Linked DNA regions of Rattus norvegicus. The protein of the gene in region 1 purifies or fractionates together with the protein of each later gene. This does not show direct contact. Links are inferred from orthologs where the notes say so. Each region holds a gene or a part of one and is shown on either strand. Other genes may lie near its edges. The genes, in order: Fndc3a and Tent5c.

Region 1 (10,883 bases):
ATTGAAGAAGATCTAAGAAGATGGAAAGATCTCCCATGCTCATGGATTGGCAGGAATAATATAGTAAAAATGATCATCTTGCCTAAAGCAATCTACAGATTCAATGCAATCTCCATCAAAATTCTTACTCAATTATTTATAGAGATAGAAATAGCAATTTGCAAATTCATTTGGAATAACAAAAATCCCACGATAGCGAAAATTATCCTCAACAATAAAAGAACTTCTAGGGGAATCACCATCCATGACAGAGCAAGAGTGATTTAAAAAAAAAAACAAAAACCAAAAAAACAAACTGTCTGATATTGGTACACAGACAGGCAGGTAGATCAATGGAATAGAACTGAAGACCCAGAAATGAACCCACACACCTCTGGTCACTTGATCTTTGACAAAGGAGCTAAAACCATCCAATGGAAAGAAGATAGCATTTTCAACAAGTGGTGCTGGTTCAACTGGAGGTCAGCATGTAGAAGAATGCAAATCGATCCATTCTTATCACCCTGTACAAAGCTCAAGTCCAAGTGGATCAAGAACCTCCACATAAAACCAGATACATTCAAACTAATAGAAGAGAAAGTGGAGAAGATTCTCAAACACATGGGCATAGGGGTAAATTTCCTGAACAGAACACCAATGGCTTATGCTGTAAGATCAAGAATCCACAAATGGGACTTCATAAAACTGCAAAGCTTCTGTAAGGCAAAGAACACTGTCATTAGGACAAAACGGCAACCAACAGATTGGGAAAAGATCTTTACCAAACCTACATCTGATGGAGGGTTAATATTCAACATATACAAAGAACTCAAGAAGTTAGACTGCAGAGAATCAAATAACCCTATTAAAAATGGGATACAGAACCAAACAAAGAATTCTCAACTGAGGAATTTCAAACGGCCACAAAGCACTTAAGGAAATGTTCAACACCCTTAGTCATCAGGGAAATGCAAATCAAAACAACCCTGAGATTCTACCTCACACCAGTCAAAATGGCTAAGATCAAAAAACTCAGGTGACAGCAGATGCTCGTGACAATGTGGAGAAAGAGAAATACTCTTCCACTGCTGGTAGGATATCAAGGTGGTACAACCACTCTGGAAATCAGTCTGGAGGGTCCTTAGAAAACTGGACATAGTACTACCTGAGGACCCAGCTATACCACTCCTCGGCATATACTTAAAGGATGCTCCAACATATAACAAGGACACAGGCTCCACTATGTTCATAGCAGTCTTATTTATAATAGCCAGAAGCTGGAAAGAGTCCAGATGCCCTTCAACAGAGGAATGGATACAGAAAATGTGGTATATTTACACAATGGAGTACTACTCAGCTATTAAAAACAATGACTTCATGAAATTCATAGGCAAATGGATGGAACTAGAAAATATAATCCTGAGTGAGGCACTACTAAGGATGCCAAGAAGACTCCTAAGAAGCTTTGCCAGAGCATGACAAATATAGAGGTGAATGCTCACAGCCAACCATTGGTCTAAGCATGGGGTCCCCAATGGAGGAGTTAGAGAAAGAACTTAAGGACCTGAAGGGGTTTGCAACCCCATAGGAAAAACAACAGTATCAACCAACCAGACACCCCAGAGCTGCCAGGGATTAAACAACCAATCAAAGAGTACACGTGGAGTCAGTCACTCATGGCTCCAGCTGCATATGTAGCAGAGGATGGCTTTGTAGGGCATCACAGCAAGGAGAGACCCTTGGTCCTATGAAGGCTCAATGCCCCAGTGCAGGGGAATGCCAGGGCGGGAGATGTGAGGGAGTGGGTGTGTGTGTGTAGGAACATCCTCATAGAAGCAGGGGGAGGAGAGGATGAGATAGTGGGTTTCCGGAGGGGAAACCAGAAAAGAGCACAACTTAGAAATGTAAATAAAGAAAATATTCAATAATAAAAAATTATATATATATTTGTAAAAAAAAAAAGCACAGACATTAAGAAACACACACTATGGCCATTAAAGTGTTCGGAAAAGTTATTAAAGCCAATGTAAACCTTGGAGAAACTGTTTAGTATTTTACATGCTTAAGTTGGGCAATCTTCTAATTGTGTAAAAAGTACAGAAGTATTATTTATAATCTTAAAATATTACAAGATTACTAGCTATATAATGCACAAGGCAATGTTTATGTGGTATATGCAGAGTAAATAAACAGTTCTAAATTGGTATTTAAACAATGTTAAAAATAATCTGAATAATATACTCTAACTGAAGTACAGGATCTGCTAGGGCAGTGTCAGTGCGTGTTATGTAGAAGCCCAACAGACGTGTGGAAGAACATGAAAGTGGGACAGGCAGTGTGCCAACGACACTGGACAAAAATCACAGTCCAACTAGGCCTTGCTGGTGAGGGAGGGGCTGAAGTGTCCTTGCATCAGGAGTGTAAGTCATAGCCGTGCTGTCTAAAATCTCACTCAGAAGCCTTGAACAGATCACAGTTTGTATAAATTGTGCAGCTGGAAATCAACTGCAGAGAGTTACTTCATAGCTAAGGTAAGAGCTCACGTAAGTTCCTGAGCATCACTGGAATTAAAACAAGAAAGCCACAGGGAGCCTTCTGAGAGTTTGAAAAACGTACTTAAATTATTTAAGATAGCTTTGATAAATAACTTTATTACATTTTAATTAATTTGTGTGTGTGTGTGTGTGTGTGTGTGTGTGTGTGTGTGTGTGTGTGTGTGTGTGGCCTGTGATACACATGTAATGGATGGAGTTGGTTCTCCTTTCGTCACGCAGGTACTCAGCTTGGGAATCAGGGCAGCAGGAGTCTCTACCCACTGAGCCACCTAGTGGGCCCCTTATGAGAGCCTTCAGTCTGGCCTGGCAAACTATTTACTATAAACATTTTATACCTTAACCCCCAACTTCTACACATGAAAAAGGAAGTAGAAAGCCTACCTTCCGTTCTTATCTTCCATCTGAAGGTGGTACTGAACAGCATCTGTTGCTAACGTCTTTGGAGTTCCTTCTCCCCATTTAAGCTTAAGGTTCTGGTGGTTAAAGGCAACACATTCCAGCCGAGGTGGATCAGGAGGAAGGGGCTTAGTTTTTAATTTAATAGTATGGCTGAAAGGCCCAGCTCCAAGGCTATTCAAGGCTTGAATTCGTATTCTAAACGACACATACAGAAAAAATCTTACTTTATGGCTATTGTACTTACACAGCTTCCTGGTTTAGGCAAACAGACAGATTTTGAGGTGTACCTGTATGTTGTATCTGGTTGCAAACTGTTTATGACATAGCTTGTCACCTTCCCCACTGTCAAGGGCTGCTTGTCTCCAAGGTCTATGCTATAGGCAAGGATTTCTGAGCCATGGTCGTAAGGCTCTTCCCAGCTAATTGCAAGGCAGGTGGAGGGTGAGTAATGGGGGTATTCTATATCATCATCACGTATTTCCTGAAGACAAGTCACAATGGCAGGAACCGACGGTGGCGTCACACAGGCTACAACTTCACTGAAGGGACCCGCACCTACAACACTCAAAGCCTACAGATGAATAAAGCAAGTTAACAAAGACACACTTGTGGCCGTGACCTCTAAACAGAAGATTCTGAGTAGTGTGTGTGCCCAGGTACCGGTCACCTACTTGGACTCTGCAGTAATAGGTAGTAGCTGGTGAAAGTCCTTTTAATTCACAACTGAGGCCAGGTCCACAGTAACATATCTGCATACTTCCTTCAACTCCTCCCCATTCCAGCCGGTACTCAGTGATGTCAGTTCCGTTACTCAAAGGAATCTTTATGAAAAGGATACAGTTTTCTTAGTCTTGAAAGTAATTCAACAGCTCTGGGGAACAATCATTCCTTCCTCTAACATATTAAAAATGAGACTGTCTGATTTAAAACATTTCAACACAATCAATAGTGTACAATTTTCATTCATTAAAACTACCTGAACAGTCTTCTGCCTTATAGCACAAGAAAAATATGCCTCAGAGTCAGAGTATCTTAATAAAGTCACTTCAAAATAATTTGACGACAGAATGTTAACTTACACAGATATTTTCACAAGTTTCAAAGGAAATTGGATATCAGTGACCAATTACAATACACAATATACTGATAATGAATTTGAGAGAAAGATACATCAAATCTTACAATTGATTGTTCAAAGTTCGCCAGTTGCTAAAATCTCAGTAAAGAAACAAAACCTTTGATTAAACACACTAAGTAACAAAAACCAGAGCCTGAATACTTAAAAGGCAAATCTATCTTACTCCAACAATTAACTCATTTCTACCATGTGAATTTATCTAGGACTCAGTTTTCACATAAATAAAGGATCAAAAGCGAAGATTACTTTTATTTTTTTATAAGCACTACTTAGGAAAATTATGTAAGTAAGTAGAAATTACAGTACCTCCCAATTCACTTGTGCACAAGTTGCAGATCTGCATGTCACTTGAGGGGGTCTGCACTGGTCGGGTGGCCCAGGGGCTGTAGTGATATCGTATTTTTCTGAAAATGGTCCAAACTAGAAAAACAGAACACAGTTTTCTTTTTCATCCTTAAACGTTCACTGCACAGAATCCTATATCTAAAGACTTACCAGCAATTAAGTTCTTCAAAATTAATTTGGTCATAATTCTAAAGGCATTCATTAAGAGTAAAAGATTTAACAATTATAGAAAAAGAAGCAGAGTTTTAAGTTTCATTTAATATACTTTGTCTCTCCCACTCCCTTATTCTCTTTATGAACTGCTTTTTGTAAAAGGAGATGGGCACTAGTAAATTAGGGAGGTGCGATAAAGGAATGATCTGAAGGGGGATGACGGCACCAAATACAAACATGGGAGATGGCAGGCACCAATCTTAGCTTAAAAAGTCAAAGATGGGTGTTTAGTGGAAATAAAGGAAGTAAATGTGCAAAGTTATCTTGACAAACTAGTAAAAACCAGTAAATAAAAAGGAAGACATCACATCGACTATGCTACCAGTTAACTGCAGCCTATGCGGTTGCTGAAGGCATACGGACTATGACTGCCTGCAGACCATACAATTCCATTCGCAATATTTAAGTGTACTCAGATTAAAATGGAGTTCAACTGGAGACAGATTATAAAACAAAGCACAGTTTAAGCACAAGTCTTAAAACATTGGTAAAGAGACCTGTGAGTTTAAAGTTTGAAAACAATTAATTTTGGAATAGTTTTTAAAAATGTGCCACCCACCCAAGCAACTGCTTTATCTCAGGGCTCCTATCTGCCCTAGCAGAGAGTGAGGGCATCGGCAGCTGTGTGGACGCCGCGCTCTTCCAGCCCTAGCCTCACTAGCTGCAACGAGGGGCTATCACCTTTTTATGTATTTTATGGATCTCCCCCACCTCTGTATACACAAACATATACACGCACACTTTTAAATTACTCATATAAACCATAAATGCTTAAATATCAGCATGTGCTCATGAAGCAAAGCATGAATTCCATCTGGTTTTCAGTGGGGAGTAAATGCTCCATAAAACCAGTTTAGTGAGCAGGCAAACAGGCTTTTAAACATCTGAAAGGAAGCCACAACTCCTTCCAAGTGCCATAAACTCTAAGATCTGAAAGTACAAAGACAGAAAGGCAAGTGATAGGGCACTGTTCCTTCTTTATCACTAGAAGCTTATAAACAGTGACAGGCGCGATGATAAGATGGCAGTTCCCTCACCCCTATTCTGTTTGCTGCACGAAGTCTGAAGCTGTACGTCTTTCCAGGAAGAAGGCTGCTCACTGTACACTCCACTTCAGAGCCTTGGTAAACATCTCTGGGCTCATCTTTATCTGCAGGAGTCATTTCTACTGCATAACAGGAAATGGGTGATCCGCCGTCAACCTGAGGAGGTCCTAAGCAGGGATAGATTTAGGGGTTTAACAGGAGGAATATTTTGGTTCTAATTTAATTATAATTCAGTAGCAAAATGGAAATTACCCCATCGTAACTGTATTTCTTTTGCTTTGGGTCTACCCTGCAACCTGGGAGGGAGGCATGGGCCAGGAGGCACAGCTGGAGTCTGCACAAGTAAAGATTCAGAGACCTGCAGAAAAATCAAACAAAAGGCTCTAAACAACTGGATTGCTTTGATAAAGGATTTTAACACAATATAAAATTGTATCAGTGTGAAATCATACTTTACTATTCACAGAAATAAAGTGCTGAATAGAATCAAGCCTTATTAAATCATTGCAACATATTTTTATAGACAAAAAGACATGTGCTATAACTACTATTAAAAAAAACAAACGGGAAAAGGAATAAGTCCTTTAACAAAACAAAACAACGAATCCAAGACAATAGGCAGCTAAACCAATCCTGTCCACAGGGACCCACAGTCCTCTTAGGTTGTTCCAACACTATAGATGCTTTCTACCTTTTTGGTTTTGAAGGTTAAGACTCATAGGGCTTTTATTTTTTTTTAAACTGTCTTTTAACCCTAATGTTAACTTATTTATTTTTTTATTCCTCTAATATCAGTTCTACAGCCAGTTAGTTTCTCTAGTACATGACACCTTTATTTAGTATTGCTTTGGTCCCTATTTTTAAAGTCTTTATTTTCTTATGTGACAAGAGTTTGAACCCAGGGTCTTACAAATGCTAAGCAAGTATCTTATCATGAAATGCTAGCAGCCCCAGCCTTGATTTTATTTTGAAGATCACCTGCCCTAGTTGTATATAAAAGTTCACATTTAATATTTAATTCTTTTTAAACACAAACCACTTGTTCAACATTTTTTCAGACAGACATTCTATGTAATGTAGAGGCGTTCTTCAATGATATACTTGAAAAGAATTTTAGATGTTATGTTTGTTGTTCTTAAATGCGGGGAGATTCTCCTTTTCTCCGGATGGTTCTAGGGATTCAGGAAGATCTCTTCCACAGAAAACTGTTCTAGCATCAAATTATGCCTTTACCACCAGGGACCTTTCTCGATTAATAGAAGGGAACACTGTACCACAGTCCTGCTGGGCAGCACACACACTTTAGTTTCACAATACTTGCATGCCTAACAAGAAGTTTAAAAGTCATTTTTAACAACAGTGCTTTTATTATGCAAACTTCCATTTGAAAAACATTATTATGAATGTTCCAATAACTGATTCTTGGTTAAATTCTTTAAAAATACATCAGGTGCCTAGAACGTGATTCCAGCTCAGGAGTGAAGAACAGGAGGTATAAGCAAGCAGAGGTGCGCCACATGCTGTCCAAAACTGTGGGGAGGGGGATCTGCCTCACCCTGCTGCACTGAGCTTGGCTACTGAGGTTGCTTGTGGTATGTGCCTGGGCCAGGGCTCCTGGCATGCTTTAGGATGCTCTCTGAAACTCACAAGAAAGTAGAGACAGGGACTATAGCAAGCATCTTGGCAGGGAGTGGAAATCACAAAACATTTCTGTAGTTTGAAATGACCTAAAATGAGGAAAAGGGCAGTCTCTGCCCAGTGTTCTCATGCTCTTGTTTGTCCTCAAGCAGATTCAAAGTAGAAACCCTCAAGGACTGTGACCAGCCCAAATAGGCCGTCAGGAAGCCTGATGAAGACACCCTCTCTGAATTACTAAGCAATGAAAATGTTGGGATTGAGTAAGTGCAACCAAAGATGCCAAATGTACTCAGTATTGAACCAGGCTCTAAAACTGTCCTCAGAATTGGGATACGATCAAAACAACTGATAAAGTTATTGGTCACTGAGTTACTGAGTCCTTTTTTTTTCTTTCTTTCTTTCTTTCTTTTTTTTTTTTTTTTTTTTTGAGGCAGGGTTTTGTAGCCCTGGCTGTCCTGGAACTTGCTCTGTTGCTCTGTGTACCAGGCTGGTCCTTGAACTCAGAGATCCATCATCCTCTACCTCTCAAGTGCTGGGATTAAACCCCAGTTACTGCTTCTCTTAAGAATCATAAAATAATGGCTAGATTTTCTGAAATACTAAAATGTTGTATCTGTGTTCGAACAGTTTATGGTTTCTCCAGAGACACAATTTGCAAAGCAGCAAATCAGTATCTAACTATTTCAGTTTCTGCTGAATATAGATATCAAATATCTTCCTAAGATTTACCTAAATATGTACTGCGAGTAAAATATCCTGTTCGAATATTCTGGTAACTCTAACATAGCACCCAGGTTACAAAAACCGTGTTACAAACATTACTCTTGCCTATTTGTCCACAGACTTCACCAATGAAGTCAGGAAATGTTGGCCCTGCCCCATGTGGTCCAAATTAAAAAACAAACACGTGTACACATAAGCATTACCGCACTCTGCCCTCCATCACTAATGCAGTAAACCCGCAGGCGGTAGTAGCAGCCTGGAGTCAGCCGGTCACAAAGATGTTCCCTGGTGGCGCCACTGTAGATCATATCCCACTTGCTTCCTGAAAGGTGCAGAATTGTGTGCAATCAGCTACCAGATAATGGTAACACTGTGGTATCATGGAGGGGGCTGGCATCTCAGGCTTCATTTACTAAGTGTCTATGTAAGTTGTCAGAAACAATTCAAGCCTGACTTGGGTTTCCTGAAATAGATTTTCTTTATGCATGTGGTCTCCGATACAAATCTGCATGGTTTTGTTGAACTGAAATATCTCTGTACAGTGTTTGACTTAGATTGGTAATTTGCTTTTTTTTTTAATTCCCGGAGCTGAGGACTGAACCCAGGGCCTTGTGCTTGTTAGGTAAGTGTTCTACCACTGAGCTAAATCCCCAACCCTGGTAATCTGCTTTTAATTAAGCATATTAAATGTGTTTACTAGTCCAGTAATAATATTGTAACAAAGAATATAGTCAGTATAGTAACACATTTAATCATAATTACAAGACCTTTCTTTGAAGTAAACATACCTTATAGGAATAAAAACTGATGGACAGGTGACTCAAGCACAAAGTTCATAAAAACCTTAATTAGAGTTAACCTTTAGAGACCAACTTTCCTCTAGTACATGTGGGTATAAACCTAACTTAATAAACTACTCCTTAATACATTAAATATATAGTATCTAAAAAAAATCAGTCTGGACATGCTAGGCTTGTATAATATAAACATGAAAATAAGAAAAAAAAGAAAATATGAGTTTAGTAATAGATGCTGACATTTGGTCCACTCTATTTCCAGATCTGAAGCATAACACGATGGGCACAATTGTAGCTGCCACAAATACTCGCACCCGCTAATATCACCAAATCAAGGACAATTCTCAGCACAGCACAAATGTGTTTATGGCAGCAAACAATGTAAAGCCAGAAGACCAGAGGTTCATCCAGCAGAGCACATCTGTCAGCTTTACCAGCTATGCTTCCTTACCATTAGAGCCTTCTGCCATCTCCACCACATACTTGTTGATGGGTGCCCCTCCATTGTCTCTTGGTGGATCTATCACAAACAAAAGTGGTATGTATTATGGAAACCCCAAAAGACAGAATACAAAGGCAGATTGTTACAAGGCAAAAAGAACCACTGAACGATTACTATTCACACATCCTTTGTTTATACTACTGTCACCAATTTTCAATCAATATACCAGTCTGTCCCACTAAATCTACCCATATAAAACTGACTCTACAATAATTTCAGTGGCTGCACAACATTCCATTCACTTTAGCTTCAAAGGGAATTTGAAATCTGTACTTGTAATGTGCTGACTTTTCCAAACGTCTCCAAGGCAGGATTGAGTTTGCACACCCACTGAACTCAGATATAAGCAGATGCTCTGCAAAGGTTGAAGCTTTGCTCTTGTTGTTTGACTTGAGCGTTAAGATGACTCAGATGCTGCTGGCTCCATGTTCAGCAATCTCTCTCTTTCACATGAAGCTGACCCTGTTTATCCTCTTACAGGGGCCCCCAGTTCTTTTAGTGTCAAACCTGGTTAGTATCTGTGAGTATACAGTTTTCCACAGATATATCCTTGCTGGAGGACACATTTCTTATCAGACTGCCCTAAGTTAATAAATAACTTTACCCAAGCACCACCATCACAATGTTATTCAAACACTGGTACTAGTAGCCAACAGGAAATCATCATGCTGGCTCGGTGGATTAAATTACTGAGCTTGGGCTCTCTGTCCTGAGAAAACACAGCATCCCTTTCTTCTAAACAACTCCTGTGAGTCTGCCTTTGTCCCATAGCAAGTTGCTTCAACAACTAACCATCCACAGGAGGAGCCACTGTTTGAGCACGGCCTAATGTAACAATAATTTGTCCATCTGGACATTTACATCCATGAAACAGGAATTTGAATTTTGAACCAGTTGCTTATGGATTTTGTTCCTCTTGTCTAAGGACGAAAGGGTAAATTTCTAGCAAAAGGTACTGTGATAGTTTCACAAGGTTGGTCTTAAAGAAAAGTTCGCTTTTAAATTATTTTAATCAAACACAAAAACATCTTACCCCAAGTAATTTTAAAGCCGTGTGAGTGTACCTTCCCTTTAACCGAAGGCTTCGCAGGTACTCCTGGTTTATCAGGGCAGGTGCTGAATTCCACTACTTCACTAGGACTGCTTTTACCTTCTGAGTTATAAGCAATGACCTGTAGAGAGAACACGAAGACAGAATGCTTGTTACCTAATAACACACTGAACCAAGCTGTGAGCAAAACACACGTTCAGTGCTATGACTAAACACTTTGAAACTGACAAGTCCTCTCTGTTGGAGAACTGTGTATCTGCATACTAAATGTGCTTGTAATCTACAGCCTTAATTTATTCCTAATGGTTTCTTCTGACATACAGATTGCAGCAGAAATGCCCTGTGCATAATATGAGAAAGCCTGTGTGGTGAGAGCTGAGGGCTCAGGGAGGAACCAGGTGAGTGAACTTGGAATCCGACACCTTCAAATGATTCCACTTCAGTAGTCTTTAAATCTGAACCACTGGTTCCTGGATTCCTAGCCAACAGAAGCTACA
Region 2 (10,983 bases), on another chromosome or scaffold:
ACTTAGCTCTCAGATGCAGAGCTTATCAGGGTAAGACATGTATACACACCCCATTCACAAATGTCTAAGAGCAAGCTGGCCTCCGTTTCAGGGCTGTTGGGAACTACATGTCATCCACTCAGGGTAGGGGCATTAAGGTAGCAGGTGGCAGACCTCTAAGCATAGGAACAGGCAGAGAGAAACATGCTAAACTTGAATACATCATGGAGGGGTGCATTACATGGAGAAATAAATCCACAGCACAATATTTGCACGGGCACTGACTTTCTAAGAGGTGGTGTCCTACCAGCACAGAGCCTCATGAGTCACTCCAGCTCACCAGACTGTCACTAGAGATCCCCGGACATCTTCGCCTTGATGGCTCACTCCTCTTGCGTTTCTGTTTGAATTTTTAATTGTTGGTAAGTTCTCACTGATGACAAACGATTGGCAAACGTCTAACTGGTAATAAACTCAGCCCCGGTCCCCTGACAATCTCACATTTCATTTCCTTGACTTCCAGCCATTTTCTAAGGAAAAAAGCCTGCTAAATCAGGAGCAAGGAACAGGACGCCAACATCCTGGGGTCGTTAATGTTTTTGTTTTGTTTTGTTTGTTTTTTGTTTTCTGTCTTTTGGGTTTTCGTTTGTTTGCTTGCTTTGGTTTTGATTTTTTTTTTTTTTTTTTTGGTTCTTTTTTTGGAGCTGGGGACCGAACCCAGGGCCTTGCACTTCCTAGGTAAGCGCTCTACCACTGAGCTAAATCCCCAGCCTTGGTTTTGATTTTTAAGGGGTCAAGTCTGCCTCGCAGGATGAAGGCTCACCAGAAAGTCAGTGCCGCCTTCTCCTTTGCTCAGACACCCAACCCTACTGTGTTTTAAGCACTCTCCTGGGACTCTGTGACCCGAGGGCAGGAGAGAGAGATCCCTGGCCACACAGAGCATACAGCCTATATATTCTCTCCTGGACCTCTGGATAGCTTACTATTGCTTCCCACACAGAGAGAACCAGGATTTGAGAGTAAAACACATGCGCGTCTTGGCCAGACTCGAACCACCTAGTACAGTAGCCACAAGCTTAGAAAGGTAGAAGGTCCAAACAGAAGTGCATAGTATATACAAAAGACAGCATAACCCCCAAGGCTTGAGCTAATGGATGTAATCTGTTTTACATCTTTTTGCACTGATTACTAACATAGTTTAACAGACAAGTTGATTTATTGTTTAAATGGTCTCATGTCTCTGAGAGAGCAGTGATTCTGTCTGCTACATAGATGACAGTAAAGAAATGAAGTAGCCAAGGGGTCTGCCAGGATCAGTGCCCAGGTGTCCCCCAGAGAAGGGTCCGCCTACAAGAGGCAAGGAAGCAAGCACAAAGTCTACAACAGTCTGGAATGGGACACAGCAGCAGCAACAGCAGTGGCGGCTTCTAGATGAACAACCCAGAGCAAACATCCGTGTGTCTTAACCGTCCTCTTTTCTCTACATCCCCATAGTCCACACACAGCTAGCACCAGAGCCTCAGGCAGCTGTGGAATCCTGACGCGGATCTCTAACTATGACAAAGAGGGGCAGGGGTCACCATAGCACACGGAGGGTCAGAGACACACAGCCAGGTCACATAGAAGGTACCTGGCCTCATCCTGTAAGGCCAAGGGTAGAAGCTAAGGAATACTGGGTGGGAGGAGGGGATGGCTCATGATCCCTGGGAATTTTTCTTCAGTTTTCGTGATAGGGGCCAGATGGGGAGACAATGGGAGATGGCGAAACAATGACAACAACAAACCCCTTCAGTTCAATATTAAAATTTTTAAATTAAAATAAAAACAAGAAAATGTGCAAAACAAAAAGCCCATATAACATACTGGAGCAGACAGATGCGGGGTAAGGTAGTCCTCTCAGATGAGAGGTCAGTCAGAGCCTGCACAGAGGTCAGAGGGGAAGGGACTATGTTCAGTTTTTTTCTCCAAATATCTAAGTCTGTATTTTGCACGGCAAAGAAGGACAGTTAAGGAAGACCTGGCCATGGGGCATCAAGGAAAGCATCAGGAAATCACAATCTTAGAAGAAGGCAGAGAGTCCTCAGAGATGGGCAGTTCCTGGGGGCTTACTCTAGTGCTCCAGGCACAAAGGACTGAGCATTGGCCAGAGATGGGGAGGCTTGCTGATGCTCTCATCTAGCTCCTGTCCACAGTCCCCTCTAAACCAGGTCAGCGAGGACGTCGAGAAACAAAAAAGTCAAAACAGAAGAGTCAGCAGAGCTAGCAGCTGAGTGAACACGGGAGAGAGAAAGGCTGAGTGAGCGAGCAGGGGCTGGGAGATCAGAGGCTGTGAGAGCAGGGGCTGGGAGGGCAGGGGCTGGGAGAGCAGGGGCTGGGAGGGCAGGGGCTGGGAGGGCAGAGGCTGGGAGGGCAGAGGCTGGGAGAGCAGGGGCTGAGAGGGCAGGGGCTGGGAGAGCAGGGGCTGGGAGAGCAGGGGCTGGGAGAGCAGGGGCTGGGAGAGCAGGGGCTGGGGTGGGTAGAGGTGCTCCGGTAGGGCTAGAAGCTGGCCGCTTTAGGAGTTTCAGCTGTCGATCAATTTGCAGGCACCTTGTTCCTTAGCTCCAAGCCTATGCTGCAGAGGCTTCACTGAAAAGATGATCAGGAAACCATCCAGCCTTTTAAATCTGGCGCTACTAACACAAAAAGCCCCATCTGGTCCCCTGGTCCAGCAGGATAGCTACTTCAACCATGCTTCCTTCTCTGCAAGGAACAGCAGGCAGCCCCCAGCAGAATGTGTATTCACATGATAGATGTGCCATGCATGCACTTTTTAGGCAGGGGTGAGGACTCTGAAGTGACCACAAACCCCACTTTTCTGGGGTCCATGTGCAAGGACAACTGAGAGAAAAACAAGTTCTTCAAGTATATCATAAAGCCAGGCCAGCTCTCTCACCTCTAAAGTTCTTCCACAGGCCTTTCGAATACCATTCCTTTGGCCTCTCTGGCACCTGGCACCAAACACCACCTAGGAAGCACTTTCTGACTCAACCACCATCATCCAAGAAAAAAGGACCACCCAATTTAAGGACCCACAGTGGGAAATGTTCTGCAACCACTGGACAACTGCTGCTTCGTGTCAGCAATTACTTCTTCTTGTTAAGAGCTTCGTCCCTGTTGTTTCAAAAAGCTCTGCAAACACTTCAAGAACAAGCTACCAGGGGCCAGCTGTACAGAATATTAATGTGAAAAAGTCCAGAAGATTCCCTTACAGAGTTATGTGAAGATGTTTTCTATAAACCTTTTGAACTCTAAGCTTCCTTTCGATGAATGCATCCAATCAAAAGGTTTCAAAGAGGGAGAAACCTTGGGTTCAAGAAATTAGGAGGTCAGCTTTACTCTTGCCTCAAGTAGCTTTAAACTCATCGAGCACACCTTTAAATATGGAGGGGCTGGTGTCATAATACAATTTCAACAGCTACAGTCAAAACAGCGGGATGGTAGAGGGCATCTCCCCATATTGCCCGTTACCTCATTGATGAGAAAAAGGAACAGACCAGTCTTAGTCCAAGAAACACCTCATTCTGCCTCACCACCTATTAACTGAGAGGGGGGAGGGGGAGGGAGGGAGAGGGAGAGCTCGCTTTCAGGAGGACAGGGAAGATAAACCCCTAAACATCATCTTAATTCAACACATCTCTGCTTCTATGGTTTTTCTTAGTAACATAGGCTGCCCTTCTTCCATGGCTGACTCTGAGACAGTACAGCATAGAAGAGAGAAGGCAGGGTACTACTTAGTGGATGGAGCTGGGCAGGAGGCAGAGAGGGAGGAAAGGAAGGAAGGAAACATTCAATGCGGCGTTCCCATTTTGTCACAGCTGAGCCTAGCTAATAGTACAACAGGGCACAACAGCCCACTTTTAAATTGCCTTCATTGTTGAGAGGTTCCCGGACTTTCCAATGGGCAGTGCAAGGCAAGTGTAATCTGCCTGGCCTTGGACTTAGCATGCAGGCTAAGCGTGTGCCTGACTGGGAGCCCACTGGGGCTGGGGGAGACGTCCAGGCTGAAAGTTCTGCAGAAAGCTTGGGAGCTATGCGTGCAGCAGAACTGGAAAAGCTGAAGAGTGAGCTCTTGGCACTCCACTCACACTCAGACCAACAGGGCCAAGGGCCAAGAGCCAAGTCCTCCCTTCTGAGTTCACAAACCTAATCTCTAGATACAAGGTAGGTATTATGGGAGAAACTCAGACTAAAGAGTGTGACTGTTTGTTCTAGGTGCACACACTAAAGTCACTCATAAAACTTCGGGACCTTTCTTTTGGTAACTGTCTAGAGATCGCTGAACAACCCCCACAATTTTAATGACAGTCATCGACATCCTGTGCAGATACTGGGACAAGTATTCCACACATCGAACTCATCCTTCTAAAAGTTCCTATCGTGTGAACTCCTAAACCAAACTATCTCTTCAGAGAGAAGGTTTCTGATTGGGATACTAAGCGCTCCATCCTCACAAACAAGGACTGCAGAGGACAGGGCCACTGCTGGTCCAGCTGCAGCAGGAAGAGAAAAGTGGCCCTTCTTTACTCTTCACCCCACACCCTTCAACTGCGGGGTAAAATGTGGAAAAACAATCACACCTCTAGTGACTTCCAGCTCGCTCGCTCGGGAGAATTCTTGGTAAGCTCTCCTACCACCCTCTTGGCTGCCTGGCTAGCTTTCTGGCTCCCTCGCTGCCTTGCCAAGCAAATTACAGTGGAAGTTGTTGTAGCCAGCAATGGCCACCGTCACCCTCCTTCCCAGGGTAGCTGGGGCAGCTGGGGGTCTAATTTAGGAAGATCTGAACATTTTAACTTTACTTTCAGAATACCAAACTCGTCATAATTCAAAGGATTATATATATAGCTATTCTTAATAAATCAGTAAGTCTACTAAGTCTTTCGTTGTAAGCACTTTAATCCTCGAATTGAGAGGGGAGGGGCTTAAGACTTAGGAATTGATCAGGACTTTCTGAAGGGTTTCTCCACATTAAAGGGAAGAGGGGAGAAAGGGACCCAGAGCATCTAGGTATGACAATCAACGCCGGTGGAAGTTTTGCGTTCTTGAAAAACCAGGCATTTCCTCATCAGGACTTTGAGGTAGCCTGCCTGCCTGCCCGTCCGCCAGTGCTAGGTGTAAAGGCTACCAGCTGGCACTGCAGGTTCCTTAACTCTTTCTATGGAAAAGGGCTATCACCCTCCTCGCAGACGCTCGGGACGATCCGGGAGCCGCGCCTCTAAGCCACCAACAGCACCGCTATCAGAGTCAACTGACTGACTGCATGGCTTTCAGCCTACGCAGTAAGCGACTTTCGATCCCCAAAGGGGAGGAACCAGGTCTCACAGCCGCCGTATTCTCGAGAAGTTTCCGAGAGACGCGCAGCTTCGATCATTTGGCCACGCGCGGTACCCACAGTTCCAAATAGAGAAGGATCTCAGCCGCCATCCTGGGCACTGAGCCCAGGGAACTGCCCTCCCCTCTCCGGCCAGGCTTTAGCCCCCGACCACAGCGTCTTCATCTACGCCGCCAAAACCGCGGGGTTCAAAATCGCCGGGGTTCCGGGCTCCGTGAGCGCGCCACAGGGGCGCAGCTCAGAGCTAGAGTACCGACTAGCAGAAGCAGAGAAAGAGCCACCTACACAACTGCCGCCGGGCCAGCAGGAACTCGCCCAAGTTTCCCAAAGCCCGAGCGCAGTCTCCGAAAAGTTTGCGCTCCTTCACAGAGGTAAGCCTGCGTCAGGGACGCGGGAGCCGGACGGGTCCTGACACCTGTCGGCATCTAGCCTCCATCTTCGGGGCACCCCACTAGGCTCTGCGGGGACCCACCCGGAGCCAGAGTGCGTGGCTCCCCACCGGAGGACCGCAGCAGCATCCTCCCACCTGTGGAGGATGGGAGCGTGGACTTACCTGGGCGTTGGAAGAAGAGGTGACTGAAGCAGGTGGTTGGCGTGGGCAGCCCCCAGCAGGAGCCGTGCGGAGACTTAGGCCCCCAGACAGCTGCGGCGAGTGAGCGGTCCGGCCGCCGCCCCCTCCGATCTTAACCGGCCTGACCACTCCCCCGCGCCTCCCCGCCCCTGCCCCCGCCCCGCGGCCGGCCTCCCGGGGGAGCCAGGGCGGGGCGCGACGGCCGAGGCCCCGAGGGATCCTTGCGCCCCGCGCTGACGGGGGGGGGGGGGGGGGGCTGGACGAACGCTGCCCTCTGATTGGCTTCCCGGGTCAATGGTTGCCGAGAGACAAGTAAACCTCCCGCGGCGCAAAGGGGCGGGGTGACCAAGAGGCAGCATTGCGCAGGCGCAATAGAGAGAGAGAGAGAGAGAGAGAGAGAGAGAGAGAGAGAGAGAGAGAGAGAGAGAGAGAGAGAGAGAGAGAGAGAGAGAGAGAGAGGAGAGAGAGAGAGAGAGAGAGAGAGAGAGAGGAGAGAGAGAGAGAGAGAGAGAGAGAGAGAGAGAGAGAGAGAGAGAGAGAGAGAGAGAGAGAGAGAGAGAGAGAGAGAGAGACACGGGTTGTGGGCGCTGAACTAACTTTGAGCATGAGGGGACAGTTTCCCTCTGTCCTCTCCGCTCCTCTCTACCTTCAGCCTTCCCTCGCCTGGACTCTTCTCCCCTCTACCCAACTTGCTCCCTGCTGGGTGCTCTTCTTTCAAAGTTTTAGGCGCTCTTCACCATAGTGCTCTCTGGTTTCCGGGATCCCGGAGTGGAAGCCCACGCTTGCCTCGCTCGGTGTTTGTGAAGTCGGAAAACTCTTAAATGGGCCCTGGAAATCTTTCTGATTCCTCGAGCAAATTGGCTGGAGGTGAGGTCGTGGTCCTGGGGGAAAGGAAGCAGCTGATTCTCTGGCCGCGGGGACACCTGTGTGCAGTTGGCAGACCTGGGAAGCCATCACCAAAGCCTTAAGCACAGCAGCTCAGCCCTCCTGAGAATAGCGCTGGTCTGTGCTGCTTGTTACTGCTCGCAGAGGGGGGCCCCCATCCCCGCCCCCAAACACACACGACCCTTAATTTCCTTGCACGTGGTTGATGGCTCTGCTTTAGAATTAAGGCTGATGAGTGGAAATCTTCTTCACCTCTTAACTATCTGGAAAGGCCTTGCAAGAGGATAGTTTGCTTTGTTTTTTTGAGGTTTTTTTTTTTATACAATGCCTCCTGAACCCAAGACAGGCTTCCAAGTTGCCTTGGTTGACTTTTAACTGGCCCTCCTGTGTGCACCTCCCAACTGCTGGGACACGCCCAGCTTTACTAACTGGCTTAACCTATTCTCCAAAAACCTCTATTTCCCATCTGTAGTATGGAAATGTGAGGTCGATATTAGGGAAATAGTTATTAATCATGCACTGCTTGGTATGCAGTTCATGCCAGCTACTAAATAAATTAGAAAGCTGTGTTAATAAACACTTGTTGAGCTTCGTTTGACCCTCTGCTGGGTACTGGGGGCTAGATGGTTTCCTGAATCGGTGCTCTCCTCTGCCCTCTTAGCACCTCTGTGGAGCAGGAGTGCCCTGCAGTGTCTGCTAGACTATGAAGAGTTCTCACGAACGTGCTTTCTCTGGTAGGGGAAGGAAATTCTCAAAACTATAACAGTATAAGACATCAGTATAAGAACTTACATGTTCTTGAACACAAATTCAGGCTATAGGGCCAGGTTTGTTGTTGTTAATGTGAGCCCTGTCTGATCTCATAGTGTCTATTATTGTGTGCAAAATGATAGGTGTGTGTACCCACAGAGCTGTCACTCAGAACATTTCCAGCTTGGCCATGGCTCCTGTCACTCAACATATTACAGGGTTACCAATATTAAGATCTCAGTCTTCATATATCAATTGTACCTGCATCTGAACTGCACATGGGGAAAGAAAGCATGAGCATGTTTCCGTCAATGAGATTTCTCCGTGTTGTATGTAACCATGTTTCATTCTTCACTACTACATACTCATTAAATAACCAATAATGTATGCAGTCTGCTGACTGTTTGATATGCGTTTCACTTGCTTCAGGTTTTGAACGGTCCATAGTGAAATTGCTGTCCACATTCTTCCCTGTGTCTTCTGTACAGCATTGAGTTGTGTCAGGCACATGCTGGAGACTGGAAATTCTAGTTCACAGGGTATCCACACGTTAAACTTTAAATGTATTTCCAGTTATCTGAGTTATTAAAGATAACTAAAGGGGGGGGACAACAAGTGTAAACCATAAAACAAACAACAAATAGATATATTTGTAAAGCAGAATGGGAAATCTGTTTAATGTTCCAACCAGTGCTGTAAAGATTCCCGATGACCCCACATATTTACCACTTTGGGATCATGCTGTTTAAAGTTTTTCTAGTTACATTTTACTGTTGTTGGAGGGGGGTGTGCGTGCCGCAGTGGGCGTGTGGAAGTCATTGAACAACTTGTTGGGAGTTCCAGCTCTCCACCGTGTGTGAGCTGGGGACTGAGTTTAGGTCATCCTCAGGCTTGGTCATAAGCAGCTTTACCCTCTGAGCCATCTCCGTGGCCCAAGTGTTTTCTTTGTAAATGAAAAACCGGGATGTGTATTTCATTATAATTAGACGTTCATTTCTCTGGTGACCAGTACTACTGAGCAACTTCTCAAATGTTTATGATCCATTATGATGGTCTATGGGGGGGATGTATCTATGTGTGTCTTTTGCCCATTTGAACTGTATTCAGTTCTTCACATAGTCTGGATATAACTCCTTTCTTATATCTCTTCCAAATACCTTCTCTCAACCTGTAGCTGGTTTATAGTTTACTGTTATTATCAGTAAAAAGAGTTTCTTAATTTCCAATCAGCCCAACTTACCAAGCATATCTCTAATGTTTAGTGTTTAAGGAATCTCTGCCTAGCCCAAAGCCACAAAGATGGTTGCCTATGCTCTCTTCTAAGAACTGGGTTTTAAGCCTTGAGGAAGTAACTGACCTTCTGCAAAGCTCCAATCTCAATAACATTTAAACAAATTATTACCTTGGCCTTTGACATGGATATGGTCATCAGAGGTAGCTATTGATATTAGTAGATGTAAAAACATCTACTACAAAAGTCAGCATACAATCTAGTGGTTTCTATCATGACGTTTCAGACATATATGTTTGCCATATGCTGTGTTCTGTCCCTTCTCAGGTCTCTACCAGGTCCCCTCCCAGCTGGCTTCCCTGTTAGTCCCTTCTGTGCTCTTATCACAAGAAACTTCTAAACCTAAAGTTTGATCTGCCCTTTGCTTAGGTGACATTTTGTTCAACGTCCTGAACAAATTAGGTAATTCTACGATGGGGAGATGGGGAGGGCCAGTCCAGAGACGAAACTTGTTATAGTCCTGCATGTGTATGTTTCTCCTCAGATTTCTTTTTTTAATCCCCACAGCTTTTCTAAACTTTTTAGAATTTTTGTTTCTTCTGTTTTTTTTTTTTTTTAAATACACTGTGTTCTTTCTACCTCACCAACTGTGGCACCTTGAAGTTGGCAGGAGGCTCAGGAGGTTGCCAGGTCCTGCTCACTGGACATGGAACCAGATAATTTAAACTATCCATGCAAGACTCTTGGTACCTCCTTGCCAAATTCCAGCCTCTGCTGGCACATAGCCAATCAAAATGCTTCAAAGACCTTTCCTTCCTTCTTTCCTTCTTTCTTTCTTTCTTTCCTTCCTTCTTTCTTTCTTTCTTTCTTTCCTTCTTTCTCTCTTTCTTTCTTTCTTTCTGTCTGTCTGTCTGTCTTTCTTTTTTCCATTCAGAATAATCCACTGGTTTGTGCCTAGAGAAGCTGCAGTTGGGAAAACAGATAAAACAGCCTTCAAAATGCAAGAGTACCCTCTTTTAGAATAACCCTAGAAATTCCATGTCTCAGTAAAACTATTTTCAGTACTCCAGCAAGTCGAAGGAATCCCTCCATTACTGTTTGTTGAGTAAGAAAGACTTCATTGGGTAGGAAAGACTTCTGGAAGAGTGATCACGTGTTCCCTAATTTACCAGTTTCTGATGTCCTGACTTTTTGATTACATTATCTCAGAGTGAGTTATAATATTCATTCAAATATCTTCTAGGCATCTCCCATAACATGATGAGTTGAGCATTATTAATATGCATATAGGGGATGCAGGACCTCAGTAAGCACGTAGATTAATGAATGTCCCTCCACACTAAGCAAATTTATGCTATCTACATACAGATTAAGAAATAAAGGAATAGCGGGTTGGGGATTTAGCTCAGTGGTAGAGCGCTTGCCTAGCAAGCGCAAGGCCCTGGGTTCAGTCCCCAGCTCCGGAAAAAAAAAAAAAAAAAGAAAAAGAAAAGAAATAAAGGAATAGCAAAGTGATTGTAATATACTTTCATACAAATGCTTTGTCTACATCTCAGGGAGTGGGGGTGGGGGGGCAAGAAGGATTATGGTTTAGTTTCCATGGACCTTTACTTCCTCTCTGGCTTGTCCAGGCCAATGTGCTTGTTGTTTGTTTTGGGTTTGGGTTTCCATTATTTTGGCATTGCAAAAAGAAAATTAAGTTTGGAGTAGTAAAAAGGTTCAGCTTTGATTTGTAAGGAAGCTGTGTGGTTTGAATGAAAATGGCCCCCTTGGTTTATAGGGAGTGGCGTTATTTGGAGGCGTGGCCTTTGTCGGCGAGGTGTGTCACTGGGGGTTGGCTTCAGGGTTTCAAATGCTCAAGCCAGGCCTAGTGTCTCTTCATCCCTGCTGCCTGCTGATCTGGATGTAGAACTCCCAGCTACCACTCCAGGACCATGTCTGCCTGTGTCCACCATGCTTCCCACCATGATGACCTTGGACTACACCTCTGAACTGTAAGCCAGCCACAGTTAAATGTTTTCCTTTATAAGAATTGCCACCGTCGTGGTGTCTCTTCATAGCAGTAAAACCCAAATTAATACAGAAGTCCAGCATGAGCAGACCCTAGGACGTGGTATGAGCGGATGGACTAGGAAGAGCGGAGGCACGGCTGCAAGGGATGGCGAAGGGAATATGGTGAGGAGTATCTGGTGGGGCCCA

The links.
Region 2: the proteins of Fndc3a (region 1) and Tent5c purify together in Homo sapiens (affinity purification with western blotting; 3 studies listed by BioGRID, with this or other methods). This does not show direct contact. The link is inferred for Rattus norvegicus from reciprocal best matches to the Homo sapiens genes FNDC3A and TENT5C.

Annotation. Positions count from the first base shown.
Region 1 is NC_086033.1:54,115,707-54,126,589, forward strand, and holds part of Fndc3a (fibronectin type-III domain-containing protein 3A), read right to left. Parts: intron 10,508-10,883; coding exon 10,369-10,507; intron 9,354-10,368; coding exon 9,285-9,353; intron 8,359-9,284; coding exon 8,240-8,358; intron 6,034-8,239; coding exon 5,928-6,033; intron 5,843-5,927; coding exon 5,667-5,842; intron 4,492-5,666; coding exon 4,378-4,491; intron 3,755-4,377; coding exon 3,605-3,754; intron 3,505-3,604; coding exon 3,221-3,504; intron 3,129-3,220; coding exon 2,916-3,128; intron 1-2,915. UniProt on the Homo sapiens protein: Mediates spermatid-Sertoli adhesion during spermatogenesis.
Region 2 is NC_086020.1:190,557,770-190,568,752, forward strand, and holds the start of Tent5c (terminal nucleotidyltransferase 5C), read right to left. Parts: upstream 6,134-10,983; 5' UTR 5,901-6,133; intron 5,719-5,900; exon of another isoform or gene 3,578-5,718; intron 380-3,577; exon of another isoform or gene 303-379; coding exon of another isoform or gene 287-302; intron 1-286. UniProt on the Homo sapiens protein: Catalyzes the transfer of one adenosine molecule from an ATP to an mRNA poly(A) tail bearing a 3'-OH terminal group and enhances mRNA stability and gene expression.